Linked DNA regions of Drosophila melanogaster. The protein of the gene in region 1 interacts with the protein of each later gene in a pairwise test. Each region holds a gene or a part of one and is shown on either strand. Other genes may lie near its edges. The genes, in order: Rox8 and CG13031.

The links.
Region 2: the proteins of Rox8 (region 1) and CG13031 interact in a two-hybrid assay, tested with the Drosophila melanogaster proteins (one large-scale study listed by BioGRID).

What each region holds. Positions count from the first base shown.
Region 1 is NT_033777.3:24,042,252-24,050,232, reverse strand, and holds Rox8 (Rox8), read left to right. Parts: upstream 1-1,967; 5' UTR 1,968-2,120; exon of another isoform or gene 2,121-2,443; intron 2,444-2,511; exon of another isoform or gene 2,512-2,734; intron 2,735-2,864; exon of another isoform or gene 2,865-3,045; intron 3,046-3,220; exon of another isoform or gene 3,221-3,295; intron 3,296-3,741; 5' UTR 3,742-4,567; coding exon 4,568-4,795; intron 4,796-4,966; coding exon 4,967-5,875; intron 5,876-5,942; coding exon 5,943-6,036; intron 6,037-6,087; coding exon 6,088-6,269; 3' UTR 6,270-7,177; downstream 7,178-7,981. Other genes in the region: Atg6 (Autophagy-related 6), read left to right, coding at 1-814, 869-974; CG5986 (uncharacterized protein), read right to left, coding at 1,145-1,747, 1,806-1,901.
Region 2 is NT_037436.4:16,723,001-16,725,964, reverse strand, and holds CG13031 (uncharacterized protein), read right to left. Parts: upstream 1,105-2,964; 5' UTR 1,075-1,104; coding exon 1,063-1,074; exon of another isoform or gene 1,008-1,062; coding exon 651-1,007; 3' UTR 590-650; downstream 1-589. Other genes in the region: CG13026 (uncharacterized protein), read left to right, coding at 1-258; Dab (disabled), read right to left, coding at 2,624-2,964.

The DNA.
Region 1 (7,981 bases):
ACTCCATGCTGGAAATCATGGACAGGGAACTGCGCATCGCTGAGGACGAGTGGGATGTGTACAAGGCTTATTTGGATGAACTAGAGCAACAGCGTGTAGCACCCAACGTTGAGGCCCTGGACAAGGAGCTCGACGAACTAAAGCGCAGCGAGCAACAGCTTCTGTCGGAGCTAAAAGAGCTCAAAAAGGAGGAACAATCGCTAAATGATGCCATTGCCGAGGAGGAACAGGAGCGAGAGGAGCTGCACGAGCAGGAGGAAAGCTACTGGCGCGAGTATACCAAGCACAGGCGTGAGCTAATGCTCACCGAGGATGACAAACGAAGTCTGGAGTGTCAGATCGCCTACTCGAAACAGCAGCTGGACAAACTGCGCGACACCAACATATTCAACATCACCTTTCACATCTGGCATGCCGGGCATTTCGGTACCATTAATAACTTTAGGCTGGGTCGATTGCCCTCTGTATCCGTGGACTGGTCAGAGATCAACGCCGCTTGGGGCCAGACGGTGCTTCTGCTCTCTGCGCTTGCTCGTAAGATAGGGCTCACCTTCGAGCGGTATCGTGTAGTACCCTTTGGAAATCATTCGTATGTTGAGGTGCTCGGCGAGAATCGAGAGCTCCCGCTTTATGGCAGCGGCGGATTTAAGTTTTTCTGGGACACCAAGTTTGATGCTGCCATGGTAGCTTTTCTCGACTGTCTTACCCAGTTCCAGAAGGAGGTCGAGAAGCGCGACACCGAGTTCCTGCTGCCCTACAAGATGGAGAAGGGCAAGATCATCGATCCCTCCACGGGAAATTCCTATTCTATTAAGTAGGTTTAGAAATGGTAAAGATTTTACCTATAATAATGATGGTTTCCTTACAGAATCCAGTTTAACTCGGAGGAGCAGTGGACCAAGGCACTGAAATTCATGCTAACCAACCTGAAATGGGGATTGGCCTGGGTTTCTTCACAGTTTGTGTCACCGTGATTTTTCTTTCTCTTTTAAATGTATATTTATAAATTACTTAATTATCCCCATAGTATTAAATCTAAATCTTTCAAATTTTAAATGAGAAGTATTTATATTGTTATGTTTATTTCAGGTAAATTTTGAAATAAGAACGTCTTTGGTACATACTTAATTCAAAAGTTATTTATCTAGTTTTGTATAGCTTTTTTCTGTGTTTTTGGCTCCTCCTCGCTGTCGTCAGAGTCAGAGTCGGATCCAGAGATGTCATCGTCTATCCAGAGTGTGCCCTTTTTCTTCTTTTTTGCCTTGGTCTTGTCTACGGCGGGGGATTTCCTCTTTGTGCCACTGGAAGTTGCTTCCTCGACGCCTTTCTCCTTGTTCTCCTCGGCCTGCTTGAGTCCCTCCTCGAAGGCGTCGTTTACCTTCTCGGTCAGATTAGCCCTGGCTTCCTCGTACTTATCGTCCTTAAAGTCGTGCTTGGGCACGGCCAGCAGTTTCTCGATTTTTCGCTTTTTACGCTCCTCGGCCTCCCGTTCCCGTTCGCCCTGCTTCTCCAGCCAGGCGCGCACCCGCTTCTCCTCGTTGATATCCCGCAAACGGCGACCACTTAGATCGCGGCAAGCCTCGCGATTGGTTGTCTTTTCAATTTGCGCACCAATGGCTCGAAGCATGGAACCAAATCCTCCTTTGCCACCGAGCTGGCGGAGAACGCAGTGAACATCTCCAGATGAAATTTCTCCCTCCAAGCGCTTGCCATTGCTGACTAAGTAGTATTCCCCTGGTTGCAGGTTCTGTAAAAAAAAGGGCCACATTGCAAAATCTTATGAAAATTATACATAACATACTCACTGTTTTCTCCGCAATCCGACTGTAAAGCTCATCACATTTAACGTGATCTCCACAAGAAATTATATATTTACTGTTTATAAAAATATTTATGCCCATTTCGACGACCTTTTCGATAACGATTGTTATTTCTAGTCTGCTTTGTGCTGCATTTGCGCCCGCGGTGAGTGTGTTAGAGAGAGAAAGCGGTGATGCAAGCGTTATCGCCTGCCCTAGGGTTGCCCCCTTTTCGATAACGTTGCTTCAAATAACTTAAAGTCGCGAATTAATGTGTGATCCTTGTCATATTATCGCTGAATTTCCATTAAATACCCCTACGTAAGTAATTTTATAAAAAAATCTTGTCAAGTCCATACTCTTTATTGCATTTCCCATCTTGCCGCCATTGCGTTTTTATTTCTCAGCAAGTTGGCAGCCCTGGCTCTCGCACACAAAATCTCATTAATTAGTTCGCATTTTAGACGACGAAGGTAAAATTTTAGCGACGCGTTCAACGTACATTTGCAGCCCCTAACAACTTTGAAAGTTTCGCAAAATTAATACAAACCGGTAGCGGCTAAACTTGACCGTCAAATGAAGTGTGCGAACAGAGTGCAGAGCAAGTAAAATGCGGTAAATTTACAAACGCAGCCACGTCACAGAGAGCGCATTAAAGAAAAAAGAAGAGAGTGCGAATTTTGACAGCGAAATTCGAGTCTGAACAATGGACATTAAGCGAATGCACTATAGTGCGGCGGGGACGATAATTGTTAAGCCCAGTTTTCGGCACCGCTGTCAGGCAGCAGGGTCGGGGCGGAGGCGTGGCGGTTGTTGGTGGCGGGGGAGCGGCATTAAAAGATGGCAGCACAAAAGCGAACAAGATACATACATATACGTACATATAGCGGCAAGCTGAAAAGGCAAATGAAAAGTCCCGCATTCAAATCGTCTTGGTATTGGTATATTGGCATTAGTTTAAATACACTCAATAGCCAAAAGCGGAAAAAAGCAAAAGCAAAAGAAAAGTGGAGACTCATGTGAGGAAAACGCAAACAAAAAGACCAGCGCAAGACGCCTCTCTCTGCGTGTGTGTGTGTGCGTGTCGGTGCTAATGTGTCAGTGTGTGTGCGAAAAAGAGACGAAGAAAATAAGCAGCAAATGAGCAACCAAAACCACCCCGCCATTCCCTTTTCGCCGTCTCTTCAGTTCTGTGACTTTGACTGACATTTTCTAGCGCCGCCGCCGCAGAAATAATCAAAATCAAGTTTAGTTCTATGCAAATTAAAATTTGATTTCGCAAAGTGTGAAGAAGAAGAACACGAATCTAATGCAACCGTGTGTGTCACCCGCCCGCCGGTTTCGCAAAATTTCCCACATCTTTCTCTTCCTTTTCCCTGTTTTTCTTTCTCCTCATTTTGTTATCGACGGTCATTCATCTTCTAGTCGATTTTCGTCGTTCTCCTTTCGCCCTCGTCTCGCTGGCGTGCCTGAGTGTGCATTTCTGTGTGCTGTGCGTGAGTGGCCCAAAAAAAAATTTGTAAATGTGAATACAGAAATATATTAATTATAAACTAAATCATTTTGCAAGGCCCGCAAATTTGTTGCGAATGAATGGCTATTGTCAATTGTTGGCCATTCGCTTTGTTATAAAGACAGGCAGTCTCTTTCCCCTGTCCTTTCCCACCCGCCTCTCTCGCTCCGAAGATAGCTCACTCACTCTCCCCGTGTTTTTCGTGTGCGCCAGTGTGTGTGAGCGTGCGTCTGTGTGTGCGTGTCCCTGCACTGCTTTGCCGCCTTCTTTGTTCCCATCATGCGAAAAGGGGGCGGGGCGGGGTAGTCGATTTATATCCATATCATTTGCGCCTGTTTTAAGGCCCACCGATCATGTGCCATTAGACCTTGTCCCACTCTTCCGGTTATCAGCGCAAAACTAACCCAAATTTACCTCTCTCTTTTACAGCAGCAACGATTCCAGGGGTCAGCTTCGAAACCCGAAAAGTACACTCAGCCTGCGAACTTTCACGCTGTTTAACTTAGCTAACTAATTTTTGTACAAGAGCAAGAATAAGTAGTCGCAACCAAGTATTCATATGTACATTTATACAATCCTGTATATTGGAACGGACAACTATTTATAATCACAACAACAACATCCGGATCATCGAAGAAGGATCGAGCAATTCTGAAATACCAAGTAGTGTACACCAAGAAACCCCGAATCCAAATCCCAGGCCCCCAGGAAAGGAAGTCAACCGATTATAGACATATATATTAGGCGACTAATCGTATATTCCAAAACACTCCATTAGCGTTTAGTTAGGACAGATATATTTATACGTATACATATAGATGTTTAACGAAATTTTCAATTAGGCGCCAGATTAGGAACAAAATAAAGCAATAAACGACGAACCTCAGCGTTAAGCAAATAGATCAACCTACCTAGATTGAGCATATAAAGTTTATATAATCCAAAAAAATCAAGCCAAGCCGAGAGTAAGTCGAAAGTAGTAGAAAATCAAAGTATTCAAATCTCTCTTGGAGTTTCCTGTTAGCAGCTAGCACCAATTAGATTGCCGCAAATACACCTGTTTAATTAGCAGACACTTTAGATTTTGTACGTAGCTAGGAACTTAATCTGCAAATTTTTGATACATCCCCTTCCGATTAATGCGGCCAGGTGCAGTAGTTGCAATTCCGGTTTTAGTGTAGAGTCAGTAGATTGTCGCTGTAGCCTAGTGTATAATCAGATCAAAAAAGCCACAGTCCCGTGACATCCGACAGCCATGGACGAGTCGCAACCGAAGACCCTATACGTGGGCAACCTGGATAGCTCAGTGTCCGAGGACCTGCTAATTGCCCTCTTCAGCACCATGGGGCCCGTCAAAAGCTGCAAAATCATTCGGGAACCGGGCAACGATCCATATGCCTTCATCGAATATTCCAACTACCAGGCAGCCACAACAGCTCTGACCGCCATGAATAAACGCCTATTCCTCGAAAAGGAAATCAAGGTAAGCTGATTAGCTTCTCTTAAGTTATCAAGTGGACAGCGGTCATTTTCATTCATTTTGTTCGAAACTACACTCTTGCAACACACACATTCCCCACGACCAAGCCCTCATGTTATTTTAATTATGTAGAACTTAATTGATTATTACCTATTAAACGAATGCTCTTCGCAGGTCAACTGGGCCACCAGTCCCGGCAATCAGCCGAAGACAGACATCAGTTCGCACCACCACATATTCGTGGGCGACCTCAGTCCCGAGATTGAGACAGAAACACTGCGCGAGGCTTTCGCCCCATTCGGAGAGATCTCCAACTGTCGCATTGTGCGCGACCCTCACACCATGAAGTCAAAGGGTTACGCCTTCGTGTCGTTTGTGAAAAAGGCGGAGGCAGAGAACGCCATCCAGGCGATGAACGGCCAGTGGATTGGCTCGCGCTCGATACGCACCAACTGGTCCACGCGCAAGCTGCCACCACCACGCGAGCCTTCCAAGGGCGGAGGCCAGGGAGGCGGAATGGGTGGCGGACCGGGCAATGGGTCCGGTGTAAAGGGAAGTCAACGCCACACCTTCGAGGAAGTGTATAACCAGTCGAGCCCCACCAACACCACCGTATACTGTGGCGGATTCCCGCCGAATGTCATCAGTGACGACCTGATGCACAAGCACTTCGTCCAGTTTGGTCCCATCCAGGACGTGCGGGTCTTCAAGGACAAGGGCTTCTCGTTCATCAAGTTTGTTACCAAGGAGGCAGCCGCCCACGCCATCGAGCACACGCACAACAGCGAGGTACATGGAAACCTGGTAAAGTGCTTCTGGGGCAAAGAGAACGGAGGCGATAACTCGGCCAATAACCTCAATGCCGCCGCTGCCGCGGCAGCAGCCTCTGCCAATGTTGCCGCCGTTGCGGCAGCCAATGCTGCGGTTGCCGCTGGAGCGGGTATGCCCGGTCAGATGATGACGCAGCAACAGATCGCCGCCGCAACAGGAGCGGCGATACCCGGCCAAATGATGACACCCCAGCAGATTGCGGCGCAGTATCCATACGCGTACCAGCAGATGGGCTACTGGTATCCACCTGCGGTAAGTGTTGTATTCTTTAAATACGCAGTGACCTAAAGATTGACCCTAACTTTGTGCTTTTCTGCAGACTTATCCCACAACCCAGATGCAGACGCAATACATGCAGCAGGGCTACTATCCCTACGCCTACCCTACCAGTGCTCAGCAAGCGGGAGGAGTCCGTAAGTTTACTTTTCTCAGTTGCTGAATAATCGTGACCTTGGCTTAAACAGCTTGCATACAATTTTCAGCGGCTGGATACCGCATGGTGCCGCCGAATGTAGCATGGGGCGTGCCCGGAACTGTGGTGCCCGGTGTGACGGCTGCCGCAGCATCCGCGGCCGCTGCAGCGAACGGATCACTTGCCCCCCAAATGATGTACAGTGCTGCGATGCCACAATACCAGACCCAATGAGCTGAGATGTGACGCCAGCTTCGACGCCGTTTGCAGCATCCGGGAAGTCGCCCCCAGCCGCAGCCACAACCACCTCTGCTGCATCAGCTTCCGCACCTGCAGCAGTTGCAAGCGCATTACGCACGTTTAGGTTACGTACAATACCGAGTAGTAGCAAAGTCGGAGCCGCTCCTGGCCATGCCGTTGACCAGCGGCAGCAGCCACATTGACGGTGGCAATGTATCTGGAGATTATTAAGGATGCGCGAGTGTCCACTTTGAAGTTGTGGCTACGGTTGCGGCTGACTGCGGTGGAAGGAAGCGGAATCGGGTGTGGTATATAGCCCCCCAAAGTCGAACGTTAAGGCGGTGCGTGGAGCTCAACTTCAAGTGATCCACGCCGGCGACAACTGAAAGAACATCAATTGAAAAGCTCCGGGCGATGGGCGGGTAGCTGTAACAATCTAATCCAATCTAAGTACGTGTTAAATTAATTTAATGATTTCTAATTTAAGCAGATATAGGCGTATAAACGAAACGGAAATAAAATAAACCGAATGAGAAATTCAACAAAAACAAACAAATAAAAACTGAAAAGAGAAAATGCTAATTACGCGCGACAGAGTTAAAACAAAAAGAAAACAATCGAAACAAAAACGTGACAAAGCAAATTGTAATTGTAACTATGTGGAACATGTGTCAACGAAAACTGAAGACGGAAAGAGGGTAGTTTCAGTGGGATGAAAGGATAGCCGCAAGCAAGCAAGCCGAATGCAAAAACAAGAGGAAAAACAAATTTAGTCACTAAGAGAATGTAAATTCGAGCATACATATTGTATATTTCCAATGTGGAAAACGAAATGCGATATAAATATGTAAAATGTAAAATAAAGAAGCAAAAAAATATATAAAACAAGTGAGAAAACGAAGGGACGCTGGTTTTTATATTGAGGTAATGAATTAGGATGTGGAATTATTATTTCAAACTTTAATTTATATCATTGATGATAGAAGTGGTTACTACTACTACAAATCTGGTGGAGGATTCAGCGGAGTCTAAAATATAGTTAAAAAGTAATTAACTTTTACAATTGTGCTAAAAAGTTTTCTTAAGGTATAACATACATACATGAATGAATTTTATAGCTTTAATATTCTCTAGTGAGACGCAGTTTTTCTGCGAAACTAGTTTTCATGAATGCTTAATTCTTCTGCTTACTTTCTCTTAATTTAAATGCACCTGGTGATGTCAGCCGTTGCTCAATTCTCAATACACTACCAATGGTTTCCAATAGCTTAGAATTTTGTTGATGATTAAGAATGCAATTGATGTTTCTTGAAATCGATTTTATTTAGCGTATTCTATAGATTTCTTTATATATATAGTTTTATATGCATGTAGTTTTTTTTTGTATCTGTGTTTAGTAACTAGTCAAAGAACTCAAATTCCGGGTGGGCGAGCTGCGTTGAAGCTGGTTCAATGTGTCGCGATAAGCGACGGGCATGTGCGCGGGTGAAGATGTATCTGATCGATCTGATAACACCAGATCCATACGCACCTGCTAGGTACAACATTTTTGGGTGTGTTACTAATAATATAGGTGAATCGGAGACGATTGTATTTATGGCTGTAGGTACATAGATTGAAACAAAGGAACTAAACTAGACTAACCATACGGACAGTGATAACTATTAAAACTTAAATACGATTCTGCGCTGGTAAATGTATCTTTG
Region 2 (2,964 bases), on another chromosome or scaffold:
GTGATTCCGGCAGTGCCCGCTACTGTTCCTCGCCTGGTTCCCGTGGCCACCAGCCATCAGTTTGTCACTCGAAACTGGAATCGAGTTTTCGTGCCCCCCGCCACGGTGGCCACTTATCCCAACACCTATGTTAAGTACAGCGGTGGCTATCCGGCGTATCCCGCCTACAATTACCCATACGCCACCACCTATCCGTACACCTATCCCTACTACTATCCCACTTATAACGTTGGATATGGTTACAAGGGTGTCTGGTGATCTGCAACGGACATAGCCTACCTTTAATACATTGTGATAACACTCGATACCAAATGATATTATATTATGATATATATGACAAATTTAATCAAAAACTTATTTCATATTAGATTCATACAACAAATTGTATAAAATATATATATATATATATAGAGAGACAATCTCGATATTATAAATAAATGTTTCTTTGTCCATTTATTGAACATGCTCATTCAATTCGATTATTTGTTATTAAGGAATATCACACCTGTATACACTGTACTTGGCACGTCGCCAAAAAAGCAACAGTTTAGCCATATACCGACTTAATAGTGACACAATGATTGTGGTTAACCAACTTGTACTTTTATTTTTGAATAACACGACAAAATAAGGAACAATTTCAATGCTTTCTAAAAGAAAAATGGTGCTGCCACTGCAGGAGCAAGGAAACGAGTTGGCTGAATGAGTCGGGCGCCAGTTGCAGGGAATGGAGCAGTAGCCAGGATGCGGGCAGGAGCAGTCGGAGCAAAGGCGGCATTAAACTGGTTAAAGTAGTCCAAGCGCTGGCTGCTGGATACGGCCAGGGGAGATGCACCCAAAGGATTAACCAAAGGAGCGCCAGCAAAGGGACCAGCAGCATAGGCGCCAGCAAAAGGTCCACCTGATCCTGGATAGAGTCCGAAAGTAGAGGCCGAAGGAAACAGTGCTGGATCCACAGCTGGCTTGGCTGCCACACTGGCCAGCAGTCCCAGGGATACGAGAATCAACTGAAAACAGAAAAGAGCCAAATCTTACAAAATCCTTGCCAAAGAATTTGCTTACCATTTGCTGCATTTCAAAAGAGATTGCTGCTGCCACAAGATCCAAAAACTGAATATGCATTGGCTTGGATCGACTCAAAGGTTTTATAGTTATTGTGGGCGTAGAAGACCACAGCTGGCCTGGCTAATTGGCGCTCCAAATTGTCAAACACTTGGCTCCAAAAGCGGCCTAAATGGCAGGTGCTGGCAGAGCAGCCAACCGCCACCCATTTGCATACGATCCGATATGGCTATATATGTTGGCTATGTATGTTGCCACACAAAATTCAGTAATCAAAAGTTTGGAAACGACTTGACTTGTCCAAATAAATGAAACCATTTGTAATATGCTTCTCACAGTTTAATTAATAGAACAAAATGACGGGACAAAAACCAATTTTTACATCCCCTACACAAAGGGACTTGACAATAACTATCGTATTCGTATAATTGCATTACATATATATGTATAAGAATAGGTTCGTATGTATAATTATCGTATATTATTTAGCTGTTTGGGAGTTACTTGATCGTTCAGTTTCAGTTGCTTGTTCAGTTACGTATAAATATATAGTTATGTATAATATATAGTCAAATCATAAAAACACATTGCCGTGGAATTAAACTAATTAGTCGTTAGTTAACTATGTAATCAAACAATCATACAAATTATGCTTGTAGTATGCAAAAACATAAACGTACCCTAGGAATATATGTGGTATTGTATGCTAGCACAATGGTTGCACTTTGGATAATTCGATATATATGGAATAGACGACATCTAGCATAGGCAATTAATTAGTTGCTTTCGATTTGCGGATCGATTGATGATTCGGGGCGGGGGCGTGAGTATTTCGTTATTTGACGAGTGGGGAGTAGCTTTAACAAACACTTGTTCTCGTTTAAGTTTTCTCTATGGCTTGCTTGGAATCGACTGCTGGATAAATCTATATATACAATCTGGCTTTGGAATAGGATCAGAGCTGTGTGATGTTTTGGCTTGGGCAGAACTGGGAGTAAGAGGGAACTCTACAGTCCTCGTTGGAGTGTTACGATATTGCAAGTTTAAATGGCGATTGAGTTGACTAGATATATGTGGCGAATTAAATATCGTATGGTTTCTTTATTTCTCTCTCTTCTCTAAGACTGCTCCTCATCTTCCCAATCCGCCAATCCTACCACAGCACATCATAATCGTACACATGCTCCGAGGACGCAATAATCAGACACTTTAGAAAGTCATCTAGGGTGCGCTTGAGTTTCCACTTTTTCGGCTTCCTCAGCAGCTGCTGCAGCGGCTTCGACTTGACCTTTGGCTCATGCCAGGGACTTGTAGATGTGGCGATGGATTTCTTCATCGGCTGATTCACTTGCTCCTGCAACTGCTGGACTGGCAAGTTGCAGTAAACATGGCGATTCAAGCTCTGTCGCAGGCTGTGCAGTCGCTGCTGCTGATAGTAGTGATTGAGATTGGCCAGAAATGAAAAGTCCGTGTCGTTGACCACATCGATCTCCGCATAGTTGTGGTTATCGATGTCCGGATCCGGTCGCTGCCCCGATGCCTTGGCAAACAGTTGGTCAAATCACATGTTTTCATCGAACTTTGCAAAGTTCGCGTCCTCGCTCCACTGAAATTTGCCGCCCTCAGTGTCATCATTGTGCTGATCCATGGCCTGTTCCTGGTCTGGTGATTTAAAGAACTCGTCATCCTCGAAGGGATCCTCCTGCTTTTTGGCAAATATGTTTACCGACTCGGATTTCTTGATGAGCTCCTGGCGCTGCTGCAGCTTGCTGGTTCGCATATTTTGCTTCCTGCTCATAGCACCAGATCCTCCGGCACCTGCTGTGGCAGAACCCGCTTGTTCCTTTTCAAAATCGAATGATGCCTTGGCGAAGTCATCCTCAAAGGCAGCATCATCGAATT